Rhinolophus ferrumequinum: one gene and its partner. The protein of the gene in region 2 purifies or fractionates together with the protein of the main gene of each other region. This does not show direct contact. Links are inferred from orthologs where the notes say so. Each region holds a gene or a part of one and is shown on either strand. Other genes may lie near its edges. The genes, in order: TARBP2 and AGO2.

The links.
Region 1: the proteins of AGO2 (region 2) and TARBP2 purify together in Homo sapiens (co-immunoprecipitation; 10 studies listed by BioGRID and IntAct, with this or other methods). This does not show direct contact. The link is inferred for Rhinolophus ferrumequinum from reciprocal best matches to the Homo sapiens genes AGO2 and TARBP2.

The regions. Positions count from the first base shown.
Region 1 is NC_046293.1:53,364,512-53,372,281, reverse strand, and holds the start of TARBP2 (RISC-loading complex subunit TARBP2), read right to left. Parts: upstream 3,224-7,770; 5' UTR 2,871-3,223; coding exon 2,818-2,870; intron 2,260-2,817; coding exon 2,090-2,259; intron 1,308-2,089; coding exon 1,205-1,307; intron 628-1,204; coding exon 532-627; intron 1-531. UniProt on the Homo sapiens protein: Required for formation of the RNA induced silencing complex (RISC). Component of the RISC loading complex (RLC), also known as the micro-RNA (miRNA) loading complex (miRLC), which is composed of DICER1, AGO2 and TARBP2.
Region 2 is NC_046297.1:71,130,137-71,138,839, reverse strand, and holds the start of AGO2 (protein argonaute-2), read left to right. Parts: upstream 1-5,362; 5' UTR 5,363-5,455; coding exon 5,456-5,477; intron 5,478-8,703.

The DNA of each region.
Region 1 (7,770 bases), on a different chromosome or scaffold from region 2:
TCGTTCCTTCTGAGGCTGCCCATGAGTCCTAAGCCTTGTTTTGCTTTTCCCCACTACCATCTCCCTACTTCCCGCCAGGCAGTCAGCTGTTTGTCCAAACATCCAGACTGCTTCCTTCCCCCTCCCCCACAACTGAGGTCTCCTCCAGGTCCCAGGCCCATTTCGATTTTCTAGAACACTTGATCGTCACCTCGCCAGGACAGTGGGAGTGGGGCTGTATATCCAGTCCCTGGAAGCACCTGATGGGACTCAAACACAGGACTATCATGGGGCCAACTCAGAAGAAAATGGTACCTGCAAGACCCTTAAACATAGTCAAACATCATCCATATGGCTATTTAAAAATCATTAATTACATCCTCTCCCAAGAGCTTACCAGCTAGTGCAACTTCTTCCATGTCTGGTCCCCAATTACTCCAGACTCTGTTTATTCTCAAACTTCCTCATGCCTGGCCAGCCTGGGTCCAAGGGCTGAGGACCAACAGCCAGGACCCTTTCCTCCCCCCTTCAGGCAGTCAGGAGACAAGATACCTGGTTGGGACAGCAGATGGAACAGGAGTAGCAGCCACTGCAGCAGTAAAAACTGGAACGTCCTCAGGCAGTGAAGAGTCTAGGGGAGAAAAAGAACTTCCCGAGGGGAAGGGGGCCTTTGATTCACACCCATGTGGGGTGGGGGGAGTAAAGGAAGGGTGGGAGACCCAGGTCCTTCTGATCTGCCCATCCCCTAAGAAAAGTCCTTCCCACTTGAGCCAAAGACTCAGAGAAGCTCAACCACCAGCTCTTCCTCCTGGGATCCATTGCTGCCAAATTACCAGATCAAAAAGATAGAGAAAAGGAAAAGGAGGGTCTTTTTGTACCCAAGAACCATGGGAGCAACAATCTCTGACCTGAGTGCAGAAGAGGGAAGGACACCTTGATAGAGAGAGGAGGTATGTTGGGGAGCAACTCCCTCAGCCTCCACCCCTCTCCCTCCCTAGCCTGAGCCCCAAACCACAGTCCCTCAGTGGGGCTGGCCATTCCCCCCAGAATCCTTCACGGCAGCAGGAGCCCTGGAAGCTTCCTGCTCGAGTCCAGAGGAGTCTTAGGAAGAGGCCAGGTCAAGGTGGCTAAGTATCACCAGGCCAGGCCTAGTGGGCAGAGGGCTAGTGCAGGGGCCTGGGCTCTTGGCAGGGCCTCTAGGATGCCGCAGCTGTTCCTCCCTCACCTGCTGTCCTCCAGGGCCGGCTCCAGCATGCTCCCCCCTTTGAGGTGTTTGAGGGCCACCTCAGCTGCCTTGTGCTTGGCTGCCTTCTTGCTGGGGCCCTGACCTGAGAGAGGGGGTGTGGGCAATACTGGAGATCACTGGAAGGACAGAAGAGAAACCAGCATCCCACAGCCTCTCTCCCCACAACCACAGGAAGTCAACCAAATCCCTTCTCACCAACCTCCCCCCTGCCCAAGACTGGAAGTGTTACACTAATTGCTGGAAGGAAGGGCCCTTATCTTTCCATGAGCTCCCCAAATCAAGAACTGCTCCTGAGCTCAGACACCTTAGGTGGAGATTCTTTCTCTGCCTTACTTTCCTCTGGGAAGCACTTTCTTTTCTCTCAATAAATAGATGGCTGAAAAAATAGAGAGAGGGTAGGCTCTAGAGTCAAAGCCTGGCTCTGCCACTAACTAAGCATGTGAAGAAGTCATTGGATCTCTCTGAGCCTCCATCTCCTCAAATTCAACATGAGGATACCACCCCCTACATTACTGGATTAGACTGAGGCTTATGATTAAGTAGGAATTTGGTTAAGCACCTAGAACACAGCAGGCACTCCCCAATACTTCACTGCGATTTCCATTTATCTCCTCTTACTTTTTCCTCTAGGATGATGATGACCTACCAGGTCACGGTGGCAGTCCTGCTTGTTCCTCTAATTCTCCCAAGCCCTACCCACCTCCTCACAGACCTGTTCTCCCAATCCAGTCAGTGGCCTTTCCCCCTGAAAATTCTTTCCCTTACTGGCCTTTGAAGAAAAGTACTGTGAAGAGATTCCAAAAAATAAAGCCAATGGGGCCCTGTGAACGCACACCCCAGCTAGGCTGCCCAAGCCTTCCTCACCAGTGCAGCTGGTGTCGCCAACGGTGACCCGAAAGGTGAAATTAGGCTGGTGGGCTTGGCCCTCGGCTTTGAGAAGGTCGTACACGGGCGTCTTCCCTATTCTGGTCCCATACTCCTGCAGAAGGCTGATCGGGGTCTTGCCCGGGTTGGCTGCCAGCATTTGCTCTATACTGGGGTAGGGGCACAGACCCTCATCACACCTCCCCTCTCTGCACCCACCTGGCCAAGCACTGTTTTATCAGACCCAAGCACACTATGGGGAACACAGGGTCCACGGGACCCCAGGCAGTACAGCAGCCATTGGCTGGGTTCAATTTGGAGTAGAGATGCAGGCTGGGAAAGCAGGGTCCACTGCCCCGGGGCAAGCGGGGAATGCACTGTTCCTGTCTCAGTTAAGGCGGGGGATCCTGTACCAGAGTGCAGCTTGGAAGTGCACGTACCCTGACACAGTGCAGGCCAGGAACCCAGTACCCACCAAGTGTACTGAACGTCGGGGGGCATACAGCCCAGTGCCCTAGTGCAATCTGGGAGACTCGGCCAGCCCCAAATTGTTTCAAGCTAGAGACACTGGCCACTGCTCGGTGCATGCTGGGAACCACGGCCCACTACCCCAGTGCTTGCCGGGAAGAACCCCCAGGCCAGATGCATGCTGGGGCGGGGCCGCGCCGCTACCCCCCCAAATCGCACCACGCTCTTCGCCCTGCAGCGATCGGCACGAGGCGGCTCACCTGGGCAGCCCGCAGCCCGTGGTAGTGCCGGAGCCCTGCTCCTCTTCACTCATTCCCTCCTCCGTCCCCGCGGGCGCCACCGTGACTGCTGCCTCCACGCGCCCCAATACACCGCCAACGAGCTAGGGCCGGGGCCAAGCCCGGAGTCGCGGCCGGTCGGGCCCGCCGCGGGGCATGCTGGGATATGGAGTCCCCCGCCCACCCGATTCCTTGAGTCTCCATCAGGAGCTCTCCGCCCCACAACGCTCCGCGTGGTTCGCCCTCGCGGCCAGCACCTCCTTCTGGGAGGAGCGAATCTTTCTGCAGTCGCTTCCAGAGCTGAGAAGTGGTTTTTTTGTTTTGTTTTTTTAATATCGTTCCCGCCACCTTCCTTCCGCGTCTCCTCTCTCTTGGGCGGGCGCTGTGGGCATGCGCACTAGCTGAGTGGAAGCGACTGGGGGCGGGGTGGTAAGGGCTAACGAGTAGTGGGGGAAAGGGGCCTTCGACTCCTGAGAAAACTACAGAACCCAGGAGTTCGCGCGCCATCTTTGCCGCAGCTGGAGGGGCAGGGTCAGGCATGCACGAGAAGCTGCCCGGCGTAATTGGTTATTTCCGATTGCGATTACTTGCTCTAGGTGGATTGCGATTGGTTACTTCACCTAGAGGGCAGGGACAAGGAAAGTCATCTCCCTTGATCCTGCCTCTTTCTTGAGAAAAGGTTGTGATTGGTCTAGGGGCGAAACTGCTATCGGATCCTTCCTCTTTACAGGGTGGAAGGGTGGGCCTTACTAGGACGCGGGAGGGGACTGTTCTTAGCCCTCCTCAGAGCGCGGGGGCAGTTGTTCGTCCAGGTCCATCTCAGTTTCCGCCTCAGCCCTCGGCATAAGCCCCTGGCCCTCGGGCATTCGTGTCACAGAACCTGCTTTCTTTTCCTAAGTTGTCCTTCACTTCTCTTCCCCTTAACTGTGCCCCGCAGCCTGTCGGATTTACGCTTCTTTTTTAAAGCCTTTTTAGAATGGCCGTAGTGAACCTTTCTGTCGCTGGCCGGGAGACGTCCTCTGAAGCCTGAGGATGAGACTGTAGTGGGACGACAGAATTGGAAGGACTAATGGTGGTTCTGTTCTCTCTGCCGTGGGTCTTGGGGTTCTCTGGGCAAGAGAAGGTTTTTGGCCTCCTAAAACTAACCGACTAATCTGGCTGTCAGAGCATTCCCTCCTCCCCAAAGTCTCACAACCACTGGGCTGAAAGATAGGGGGAAATCTTGTGACCTTGGAGAGAAAGAAATCACGAAAAATGTGATTCTAATGAGTGTTCTGAGAATGGGTCAGGGACGACACGGCTTGGTCTGAGGTGGATATCCAAAGGAATTTTGGAATGATAATGAGGGGTCATCCAGGAACACGGGATGGGGACAGAGCACTGAGCTGAGTGGATTCCCATTGGGTGGAACTGGAGTGGTGACAATTAGGTGATGGAGAGCTAGCAAAATTAGTATGACAAGGAGAGCAACTCTAGAGCGGGGGGTAGGAGGGTGTCCCATCTGAGGGGCTACTGTCTCAGGGTATAGGAGGGAGTTTATAAGACCGGCCATAGGAGGCTCCTACGGAATCACCATAATGCCTAAGGTGGGACCGCCAGCAGGGAGGTGAGGGGTCCAGACGGGCCGCATCCAGCCTGGAGCACACCGGACGGCTGCAGCGGGCTCCTTTAAGAGGCCGACGGCTCCAGCGCAGCATCCCCGCTCAGGGCGTGTCCGTCCCGGGGGGCTAGAGGCAGGGGCCTAGGAAGGAGCGGGAGTTCAAGCCGAGTGGGGACGGGGCTAGGGGTCGGGGGGTGGGGGGAGAAATCTGGGGCGTACACCCGGACACTGCACGAGCATCGCCTGTGACAGCGCCCCGGGTCCAGTCGAGGGCAGCGGGGGGGAGGAGAGAAGGAGGAGGAGAAGGAGGTGGAGGAGGAGGCGGGAGCAGCATCCGGAGCCGAGCTGCAGCAGCGCCGCCTTTTGTGCTGCGGCCGCGGAGCCCCTGAGGTGAGAGCCGGGCCGAGTTGTGGGGGGTGGGTGGCAGGGATGGGTCCGGGTCCTGTGATCCCGGTGCCGAGGGAGGGTCGGGATGCAGATGTGGCGGGGTGGGGGAAGGTGGAACGGGGATGCTGAGGCTGTGGGGATGGAGGAACTGGGGACCTGGACCCGACGCCTGTGGGGGTGTAAAGGAGGGGAACGGAGCGGAGGGACACCGCGGCCCAGCTTGGAGATGAAGGGCCTGAAGAGCTGGAAAGGACTGCATGGGGTGGGGAGATGACTGGGGAACAGACTTAAAGGACAGCGGGAAAGAGACCATCCTCTTCTCCTCCCACTCATCCGCAAGAAGGGCGAGGGAAGGAGGAGGAAGAGTTTTGGTCCCTGAGAGGGAAGGAAAGGAAGGACAAGGCCTTATGTGCCCACTGAGCCCCTCACCCTCCTCCCACACACACTTATCGGGCTGCACCTGAAGATTATAGGCAAAAAGCACCTGTTCCTGGATGCCCAGGGATGGTCCTCCTCCCCTTCCCACTGTGAAGCCCCTAATCCCCTCCAGCTGTGGCATTCACCTCCATCCAGCTGTTGCATCCTCCCCTCCCCCATTCAGATGTGGCTTTCTCCTTCCTCCTCCTCTCCATCTCCTCTGGCGCCCCTAACCCATTTCCCCAGCCCAGGCCTTTCAGAACCTCCTCCCTTTTCCCCACACACTCCTTCCTCAAACTCCTTGGCTTAAAAATACGCAAGAATCCTTTCCACAGAGTTAAGACTCCTGATACCACGGCCTTGGCTGAGGGGAGGTAAGAGAAGGGGCCAGAGGCTCCACAGACAGTGGAAGGAAATAGTGGGGTGTCCTGCTCTCTTGGGGAGTGGGTGACTTACCCTCAACCAGGAGAGAGTGCACATGAGGTCTCTCCCCCACCCAGAGTCCTCTCAAGCCAGTCAGTGCCTCCCTCTAAACAACTCACAGCTCCCTTCCAACTTGCAGGGTGGACCCCGTGGTGCTGGGAGCTCTGATTTTCGGCCAGAGGGTTATACTAAGGGAAGAGGGTCATACCACGGGTAGGCGAGCAGAAAGAATTGAGGAAGGAAAGGGCCCAAGTGCGCCCTGGGCCTTCCTATCCAGACACTGAAGTTCCTCTGAGCTTTAGGGCCTGCTCTCTCCTACCTCACACTTAAGGTTGGAGAAAAGCAGCTGTCCTTTCAACCCTGCCACTCACCCACTCACAGTGGGGATGAGGTGATGCTAAGAAGACCAACGGTGTGATGCCTAAACTCCAGCACACATAAAAACACACAACTAAATATCCATCCCCTAATTAAACCCAGATATGGGCAGAGGAGGCAAGAAATTTAAGTAAGGAAGTGGCTCAGGATTTCCTGAGTGTCCTTACTGCTGAGGATGGAAGAACCCCTCCAAACACCAACTGCTGTCTCCCACTCCTTCCCCTAGAGGTGACATATGGTAGTCTGGCTTTGCTAGTACCCACCATCCTAGACTCACCTAGTGGCAAAATGGCTCACGTGTGCTCAACTATGTCTCCCCTGCCTGGGCTGGGGAGAAAGAAGGGATGAGGGAATCAACCCCTGCAGGAGTCCCTGCTGGGGCAGAAGGAGTAAAATGTGGAGCTGATGGAGTAGGGGACGCAGGGGCTGTGTCATGAGGGATTGGCCACAGAGACTGGTCTGTCGGCTTCATTTGCTCCCAGAAGGACTAGGGTCGTGTGTGTTGGAGGAGGTGATGAGGCAGGGACGCCATTGCAGATGAGACCCAGGCTCACCCAGGATAAAGAGCCCTCGTCCTTTGCCGTCTTCTTTCTTTGCTCTTTTTTCCCCTCTCGTGTTTGTCCACTTCCCTTTCCACTTGTACCCTCCCTACTGCCTCTTGCTCTGCAGAGGAGGAAAAGGGAAAGAAGGAATAGGAATCACATGTATAAAACCCCCACGAGTGCTTGTCAGGCACTTTCCACACGGCTAATGCTTAGAGAGGGCTTCCTGGGTGCCAAGTCCTGGGCCCAGAACTTTATTTGAATTATCTCAGTAATGCGCATAGCAGGACTAAGCATTAGGTAGTGTTATCATTGTCTCTATTTTAGCGATGAGGAAACTAAACTTAAGTAATCTGTTCAAAGTGAAAAAATCAGTATATAGTTAGAGCTTAGGGTCTGTTGGACCTAGAGCCTGTGTTCTTACCACATTAGACAGAGGGTGCCAAAACAATGTATATATATTTTAAGAAAGGGAAAAACTATTAAAATTGTAATATTCAATATATACCAATAACAAAAGATGAATCCAAGTCGTGTATATATTATATATTTTTTGGCCCCCCAGGTATATTGCATTACCACTGTGTGTCATAGGCATCACTGTCCCCACTGAGAGATGAAGGACCTGTGAGGTTTGTTAAGAAGTCTCATACTCCAGGTTGCCCAAATGGTCAGGAGCAGAGACAGGATGTCAACCAAGCCTCTGATTCTCAGGTTATCCACCCTCTCTCTATAGCACACTGTCGTCCCAAGCTATATTTTACTCTAAGACCCGGTATAATATAATAATATAATAATAATATTATTATATAATACTGGGTATAATCTAATAATAAAATAATATTATTATATAATACCGGGTATAATATAATATAATACCGGGTCTTATATTAATTTTTGCTCCAAAAGGCGCATTAGAGCTGATTGTCCGGCTAGGTCTTATTTTCAGGGAAACACGGGAGGTGATAGGGATGGATGGACACTCTTATTTTGACGTCCTCTTTTTCGATTTAAAATAGATTTTTAAATTTCTCATTTTAAAACAATTCAAAGTCATTACTGAAATAGTAGAAAATATAGATAAGCCGCAAGAAGATAAACAACCACCATTCTACCAACCTAGAAAATGTTACACTTTGGTATCTATCCTTCAAGATCTTTTTTTTTTTTAAGGAGGGCGCAGCTTAC
Region 2 (8,703 bases):
TGTAACCCACCTGGCATTCGGTTTGGAGGTGTTTTTCCCATGAGGGGACTGAGTCGTCCCATCACCATTTTAGCAAAAAGGCTGTCCTTTACCCCGCCGATCTCAGGTGCCTATCTCTTCATAAATCAAGTGTCCACATACGTGTGGGCACTTTCGGGCCCCTCTCTTCTCCTCCATTGGTCTATACACAGTAGTGCCATCCTGTCTTCATGTACCTGGCTTCATACTGAATGTTGATACTTTGCAGGCTGAGTCCGACCACCTGCTTCCTTCTCAGGAGTGGCTTGGCTATTTTTGTCCTTTACATTTCCACATAAATTGTCAAATAAGCTTGTCAAGTTCCTCCCCGTGATACAAAAACCAAATCTATTGAAATTGCATTGAATTTATCGGTCCATTTGAGGACAAGTGACATCTTTACCCTAGTGAGTCCCAATACAGGAACATGCCATCTCCCTCCATTTATTTAGGTCTTATTAATGTTTATAGAGTTCTGTGCAGAGGTTTTGCGTGTCTTTCATAAGATTTATTTCTAGATTTTTGATGTTTCGTTCTGTTTCAATTTGACTTTTAATTGTTTCTCAAAAGTATATAGAATGATGGTTAATTTTTAAATTTTGGCCTTATAGCCAAAAACCTTACTGAATGACAGTTTATCAGTAGATTATTTCAAAGAAACATGCTAGATGATAAGAATGACAGTATAAAGGAATTGTGGAGTTAAAAATTGGTACTTGTTTATGTTACATACTTTACTCCTTTGACAAATATTATAATGTTAATTAATGGTTTCTCCCTATATGAAAAATAGCTTTTATTTATCTGTTTTGACTCCAGGAAATACTTCAAGTTGCATCCTCCACAGCCACATTCTTCTCCAAGACCTTTTGTAGAAAATGAATTTGAGTTTGCAACCCTTGATGTTATAGCAGAAGCAAGACTTTGTGGCATCTTGCACACGCTGTCACTGTTTTTATTTTAGGCATTGTAGTGGGTGTGTATTGTTGTCTTACTGTGGCTGGAACTTGCATTTTCCTAATGGTCAGTGATGTGGAACATCTTTCCATCTTATTTGTTTTTCAGGTTACCTATTTGAGCTCTTACCCTCCGTATCTCCTCTTTAGTGAAATCTCTCTCCAGGTCTTTTGCCCCTATTCTAAATGAAGTTTGTTTTTTTACTGTTGAGTTTTGAGGGTTCTTTATATATTCTAGATACTTTGTCAGATGTGCGGTATACAAATATTTTCTCCCACTCGATAGCTCATCTTTTGACCCTTTTAACCGGGCCTTTCACAGAGCAAAAGCTTGAATTTTGATGAAGTCCAGTGTACCCACTTTTCCTGTTACGGATTGTGATTTTTGGTGTCAAGTGTAAGAACTATTTGCCTAGCCCTAGATCCCAAAGATTTTTCTCCTGATTTTTTGTCTGTTTTATGTTCACATTTAAATCTTCCCTCCATTGAGAGTCAGTTTTTCAGTGTCCTCACGTTAGTGACAGCTTGGTTCTTCTCTCCTTACTACACAGAAGAAAGAACCGTCGTGGAGCCAGCCGACAGTGTCTCAGGAGCACTGCTGGATGAGCCCCTCTTGCAGTTCTGTGTCCCAGTGAGTGATACCCTCTGCAGACCGCGGTGTCAGTGGCCTCGGGGTCTGTGCAAGGAGGCAGCCCTGACCGCCTGCCTCTGTTGGGTGCACAAAATGACAAAGTGATCTGCGTTCAGACTCAGTGGTTTCCGTGTGGAGAAATGGCTGCCACGTGGACTCTGTTCCTACTTTGATGGAAGTATTTGTCAATCCACAACCACACTCTTGGGTTTTCAATTCAGACAGACAGCTGATATTTTTATCCAAACGATCTTTAAACATTAGAGCTGCAAGAGATCATAGATTTCTACCTCAGTGTTTCCCAAAGTGTGCTCCATGGAACCCGAAGGTGCCCTGGGATAAACGGGTTCTGTCGCGGAATAGATTTGGGACAGGCTGCATAGGGTCTTTTCTCTTCCTTCCTCTTTGTAGAATCCTGATTCTTAATCTTTTGTTAAAGGCTCTGTGAAGGCTGGCGGTCAATAAATCCGTTTGGTGTTGTTTAACTGAATGATTCCCAATTTATTGGACCTTCTAACTCCTCTTTTATCACGTGCAGACATGTTTTTGGAACAATCGAATTATTCCAGTGTCGTGAAGAAGCGTAGGGCCTCTTGAGTTGAGAGCGTCGTGGGTGGGATGACCGCAGGAGGGCGCTGTGCGCTTGGCCTCCCCGCGCGGAACTGCTCTAGACCGCGGCACCCAATGCGCAAACCGGGGCTGACCAGCATGGGGGACCCTGGCAGTGATTAGGCCCTGCAGTCTTAGCAGAGCATAGGGACCCCTGTATCAGGGAGAGAGACTGGGCCCCGGAAGACCCGTGAGTCGGCCCTGTGGGGCCAACATCCAGGTGTTGGTTGAAGGCCTGACGAAACCGGGCAGCGGCAGTTGGATGCGGTTCTAGAGCCATGTTAAGCCAGAATTGAGTGGACTCGAGTAAGTGGGTTAAATGGATTCACGGATTGCGGTAGAGGTAGCAGGCAGAGGCCCTGGGGTTTCTTCGGTGGATGGTGAGTGTTGGCTCTGCTGGGGGCACAGGAGAAGGAGCAGGTGGGGAGGACGGCTGAGCTGCTGAACTTGGTTTGATGCTTGTGGGCCTGGAGCTGCGGGGCCGGGGGCAGGAAAGGGGTGGGATTCCTCAGCACAGGCAGTGGGGGGTAAAGTCTGGGAGAGGAGGGCACAGGGGAACCCCAGTCCTAGCAGCGGGGGGCAGGAGAACCCCACCCAGATCCTGGGCTCACGGGTCTGGAGGGCCCGGCAGGCCGCAATAGCGCTCCTCCACCAGCAGGGATCGCGCGTGTCAATCTCGGCGGGGCAGTGACACAAAGAAACGCCTGAGAGATACTATCTTGCCAGACCTCCTGCAAAGGAACCCTGGCAACAAACTTAAACCCGCCTGGGCTCTCCCAGAAGCAGGGCGCTGAGGGAAGGAGATGAAACAGTTTTCCGGTGGTTTCCAGAGGCCATAGGTTACAGCAGAAGCAGCAGAGCGTTTAAGCCTCTGAGTCATTGGGGATTTCGGGGAGGCGACACTGTGCTGGGTGTGTAAGACAGAGACACACCTCGGAGGGTCATGGTTCATACACAGTGGAGTCATGTCTGGTATGTTACAATGTTTCGGTTGTGAACTATAGTAAAGGTACAGAAAAGTATATAGAAAGTAAATGTACAGCTTAGGAGACTTGCCAAACCAACAGTAGTGGTACCGGAATGAGAGTGCCCGGCACCCCAAAATCCCCCAAGGCCTCTGGTCACAGCAACCCCCTGCCGCCAACCAGTACCCACCATTCTGATTCTTATGGTAACCACCTCCTTTTTCCTTAGCTCTTAATTACTTAATTATGCATCCCTGACCCATGTGGTTTCATGGCTCCTGCTTTGGAACTTCATAACTGGGATTCTGCAGGGAGTGTGGCCTGTGGCTTCTTTCACCAACATTGCTGAGATGCGGGTCACACTTAGCTGAAGGGTGTTCGTTCTCACTGGGTTCACCTTTATGAATATGTACGGCTCTCTGACCTGTTCCACGGCTGAGTACCTGGGTGGTGCCCAGTCCTGTGCTCGGGGTCGCACATTCAGCAGCCTGTCCACCTGGGGCCCGGTGGTCAGCTCTGCCAGACACTGGTCTTCAAAATGATTGTACTCAGTCCCACTCTCGCAGTAACACTCGAGGAAGAACCTGAAGGGGGTGAAGTAGAAGATTCTGGCAAAGCAGGTAGGGCTGTGTCACAGGGCACTGGAAACCAAATGGAGAGTGTGGACCACGTGCGTACGGAAATGGGGAGCCAATGAAGGATTTGGAGCAAAGCAGGCACAAGATCAGATGTGTGTTCACACAAGAGACTGTTGGGTGGAGAGTGGGTAATGGCGGAGAGTGATTTCAGGGGCTTTTCAGGTGCTCCAGACCACCTGGTCCGCCGTGAGGGTGGAGATGGTGGGCCGAGGATTAGAGAGTGATGGATGGGCATCTGGAAGACTGATTGATGTCAATGATTTGAAGATTGATGTCCCTTTAAGTTTCTCTCTGGAGGAAATGCTGGTTTTCCTGCCCTTCTTTAGGGAGATCCTTGAGGGTTGCCGAAGAACTGGTGATGAACCTATTGCATGCCGACCTCCTTGCAAGCGGGACTCCAGTTCACGTCCACGTTACCCTCCGCGGGAGGAACACGCCGCTCCTAGCAACCAGTAGCAGATGATACAAGTTTATAGAGTGAAGAAGCGAGCGAGCAAGGATGTTACAAGGTGATGAGCACCTCTGCACTGTTTCACCTACGATTAGGGGAGAAAGGAGGTTCCCGTTGGCTGCCCTGGAAAAGGCTCCAAAATACCGCTGGACCCCGGGGGACGTGAAGGACGGAGGATGTGGGTACGAGGGAGGAGTTCCGACGCAGGTGGGGCAGGTACAGAAACGCACGCAGGAGCACGATGGGGACCCGTGTGAAGAGCCTGGGGAGACCCCTGAGTGCTGGCCCGGGGAGTTTTAGTCTGATCGCGTCGTTGACGGCATCTGAAATTTACCGAAACTTAGTAAGAATTTTTTTACATGGATTTTCTGGGTTCTTGGCCGGGAGGTGGCGGTGTGGTCGTGTACGAGGGCCGGACGCGTTCCAGTTCAAACTCCGGGTGGGAAGCTAGCTTCCCGACATTCAGGTTTGGTTAATAACTTAAAAAAAAAAAAAAAAAAAAAAAAAGGCCAGGCTGAGACGCTGGGCCCCCAACCCGTGCCCAAGTGCACCCGGCCGGGTGGGGTGAGGATGGAGAGGGTCATGCGCGCCCCCCTCCACACCCCGCGAACAACCAGAAGGGGGTCCCCACGAGCCCGGAGGCGGCGGGGAAACAAGGGCTGTTTTCTCGTCTTTCTCCCAGGTCTCCGGCAGCGACGCCGAGCTGGCCCTGCTCCGCCCCGGCAGAGGCCACGTCGCCCATCTGAGTGGCTGTGAGGGGTCCCCCCCCCCCCCCCCCGCTCCGCGCCGCCCCCGTCCCCGTCCCGGTCCCGCCCCAGGCCGGGTCCTGGATCCCCGCCCGCCCCCAGTTTCCACCGCCCCGCGGGGTCCCCGCCCGGGCCCCCCAGACTCGCGCGCGCCCGGCTCCCCTTCCCTTCTCCCGCCTGCGCTCGCGCCTCCCTCCTCCCCCGCCCTCTCCTCCCTCGCCCCTCCCTCTCCCCGCCCCGCCCCCTCCCTCCTCCCCTCCCCCTCCCGCCGCCGCCGCCGCCTCCGCCCGCCGCCCGGGCCGCGTCGGGTAAACCTGTTTGGCCAGGCGGCCGCGCTGGGGCGGATCGTGCGGCCGGCGGCTCCCTCGCGGCTCGCGGCGTCGGGGCCCGTGGCGCGCGCGCGGCCGCCCCTCGGCCCCGGAGCCCCTCGGCGGCGCCACCATGTACTCGGGAGCCGGCACCGGTGAGTCCTCGCGCGCGGCGCGGGGAGCGGTTGGCGGGCGGGCGCGAGCGCGGCGCGGGCCGGGCCCGGGCGGCGGGCGGGCGGCGGTTCGGGGCCGGGAACCGGGGCCCGGAGCCGCCGGCCGTTCCCCGATCCCGGCGCAGCCGCTCAGCCCGGCCTTCTCGGGCCGGGTCGTCGGGGCGCCCCCGCGGCCTGGGCCTCCCGCGTCCCCGTCGCCGCCTGGGGCCCCGCGGGCCGGGACCAGGGCCGGGCGGGCGCGTGTAGGCCCGAGGCCCGCGTGTGGGCCCCGCGCCGCCGGGTCGGGCGCGGAGGCCGGGCTCTGAGCGCCGAGGACGCAGGCCCGGGTCGGGGCGCGGGGCGCGGGGCGCGGGGCGCGGGGCGCGGGGCGCGGGCGGCGGGAGAGGAGGCGGCGAGGCTGGAGCGCACTCAGTTTCGTTTTTCTTGTTGCCAGCACTTCTGCGGCCCCTTCTCTGAAGGAAAGTCTGCAGATGCTGAATTTTGGCCAATTGCTGTTGGTAGTTCGGATTGTAAACTGAGAGGGATAGGAAGCGGTCCCCTGAACCCTGAAACTGCATGCGGCTCAGTCTCATTCCAGACACGCCAGCCCCTTATTCAAGTGCTAATTGCCTTTTCCAATTTGCTAGGAGAGGTAAGGAGATGTGTTGATTTCCTTAGCACCCCTTCTTACTAGTCAGCCTTTTCCTTTGGAGAAGTTCTAAAAAACTTAAAATGCTAAAAGCGGTAACACATTGCCCCCACCTTTTTTAAATGCACAGTTAGAAGGACCATTGACTTGCTCGTCCAAGAAAATGGTCCAGTGTTATAAAGCTTTATCGCTGCCTCCCGCCAGGCACGTGGCTTCTAAATTTCCCGCTGGCCCTGCCACTTGCACAGGGTATTGCCTGTCCCCTTTGTCCGCCAGGCTGGAGCAAGCTGCAGGCCCCACGGGCTCCATGCTAGGGGGCTCTGGCCCTGTGCTAGGTGTGTCCCAGGCCTGGGCCCTTGACGGCCTCCTGCCATGGGGCCCTGGCCCCACCTGTTCCAGACCTGCTCCAGATCTCCAGTCTGGAAGCCCCTCTTGATCCGCTCGGGTCCCTTGACATTGTCTCCCACTGTGTGTCTGTTCACAAACAGATCTATGTCTGTGACTTCTGAGTGTCTTTTTTCTGATGTCACTTAGCTTCTCCAAGGCTGAGCCTGACAAACTCTTAAGGGCACTCAGCAAGTTGACTGAAGAATGACTTTAACCCTCCACCTGGGAGGGGACTCAGCCCTTGTGGGGAATGGGCCTGGACTCTTGCTGTTACTGTCCTGGGGCATATTTGGCTTCTTGAGATTCTGGGCGGTGCCCCCCACCCCCATCTGTGACTTGGCCGGGTCGCCCCTCTCCCAGATGATCCTTGTAGAGGACCCAGCAAGTGTTTGCTGCCCCACTGGACATGTTTCCTGGTTTTCGGTTTAAAAGTCGAAGGCCTGGAGAAAGTGAAGAACCTTGAGGAAGGTCAAGTTTTTGTGTTGTGTTTCACGGTATTGAATCTGCGGGACAGCTTGCTAAGTTGGTGGTGTTCATCATGACAGAGGCTCAGAGAGGTTAAGACCTTGCCAAGGTCATAGGACCAGCGAGCATTAGGACGATCTGTCTGATCCCCAAGCTGACTCTCTGTGCACTGTCCTCAGAGAGTAGTGGCTGTCAGTCTTTTGACTTTGACCCACAGTGAGAAATACCTGTTACATCTGGACTAGAGTGGGGTGTGAGTACACACAGGTATCGTTGAAACTGGAGCTTCTGGAGGCACCGCTCACCTTACTGCATAACCTGCATCATGAGATTTCCTCGTCTGTTTCATTTTTTTTTTTAAATGCTTTAGTCCCGTCCATCTCCTGGCTCCCTTTTCTGGTCGCTGAGGGCTTTTGGAAGACTCTTGCTGTGGTGCAGGCCTCCGTGCTGTGCATGGTGGGAGAGGGCCGTGCTGCACAGACCAGCGTGCCCTGCAGCCGGCCAGCGGAGCCTGAGAAAATAAATGGGTCTGGATAGTTCTTAGATAATGGCAGGATGGGACTGAACCCAACTTTCAAGCTGTATGAGTGAGCTGTAATTACAAGGCTGTGGTGGCACACGATTTTATTCTACACACTAAGGCTTTTAATTTTTGGACTAGAGTCTCCTCAATGAAACTCTTTTTAATATTATATTTCTTAATTTAGAATAACGAGAAGACATTCGATCTGGATTGTACAAAAATTACAAACAGTTTTGCTACTTCCAATTTTAATACACTTACTAAGCGACTTACCCAGTAAATTAATTTTTAAAATAGAGTTCACAGTAGGTCTCTTATGCCCATCGTCACTGCTCGAGCGCATGCGTGAATATCTGGACTCTCAGGTTAGGTATGTTACTATTCGTCTTTTGTTTAACTGTTCGAAAGAGTTAGTGGTTTGGGGTGGGTGGATTCGCCAGTGACCGTGAACCTTCCTGGGTGAACCAATGAGTTTCGTTTTGTTTATTTAACCCTTTCATGACCTTAGCCTGTGTCTGAGCAAATGCCTTCTGTGAGGGCATCGTTGGTCTCACTGTGTTTCGACTCCTGGGGGTCACCACTCCACTCAGATAGGCTACAAAGTAACCTTGGGGACACCGAGGCTCCTTGGAGAATGGTCCAGGCAGGATGGTGACTTGGAGAAGTAACGGCTTCCATCGTGGTTTCTAACTCCTCCTGCACCCCACTTCGTCTCCCCACCCTCGGTTATCTCAGGGAAGATAGGACCCATCTCCCACTAGTGGAGCACGCGGGCCATCGCGGCAGATGGCCTCTGCCCTGGTGCGGAGGGCGGTGGGTAGTTGTACAGAGTCCCCTTGGATCTGTTACAAACCTTGAAGAAGAAGTTAAATAAGTGTGTAAGGAAAAAAAGTAAAAGCCCCAACTCCTAAAGCCTGTTTAGGAAGCAGAATATTTTTCGTTAACTTCTAGTTTCAGTGTTACAAGTTTTAACAATGCCAGTTGGGTTTCTTCTTTATGAGGTATGCAACCCTACTGTAAAGTGCCAGTCTGGTAAAATATATTTTTGTTTCTTGAATTGTTAGCGTGAGCCTTCAAAATATATCGCTTAATTTTTCAAAACACTTTCTATTGTGAACTAATTGAAAATACACAAAAGTAGGGTGACTACTGCAGTACGCTCCCGTTTGTCCATCAGCTTCAACAGTTACGCACATTTCCCAGCT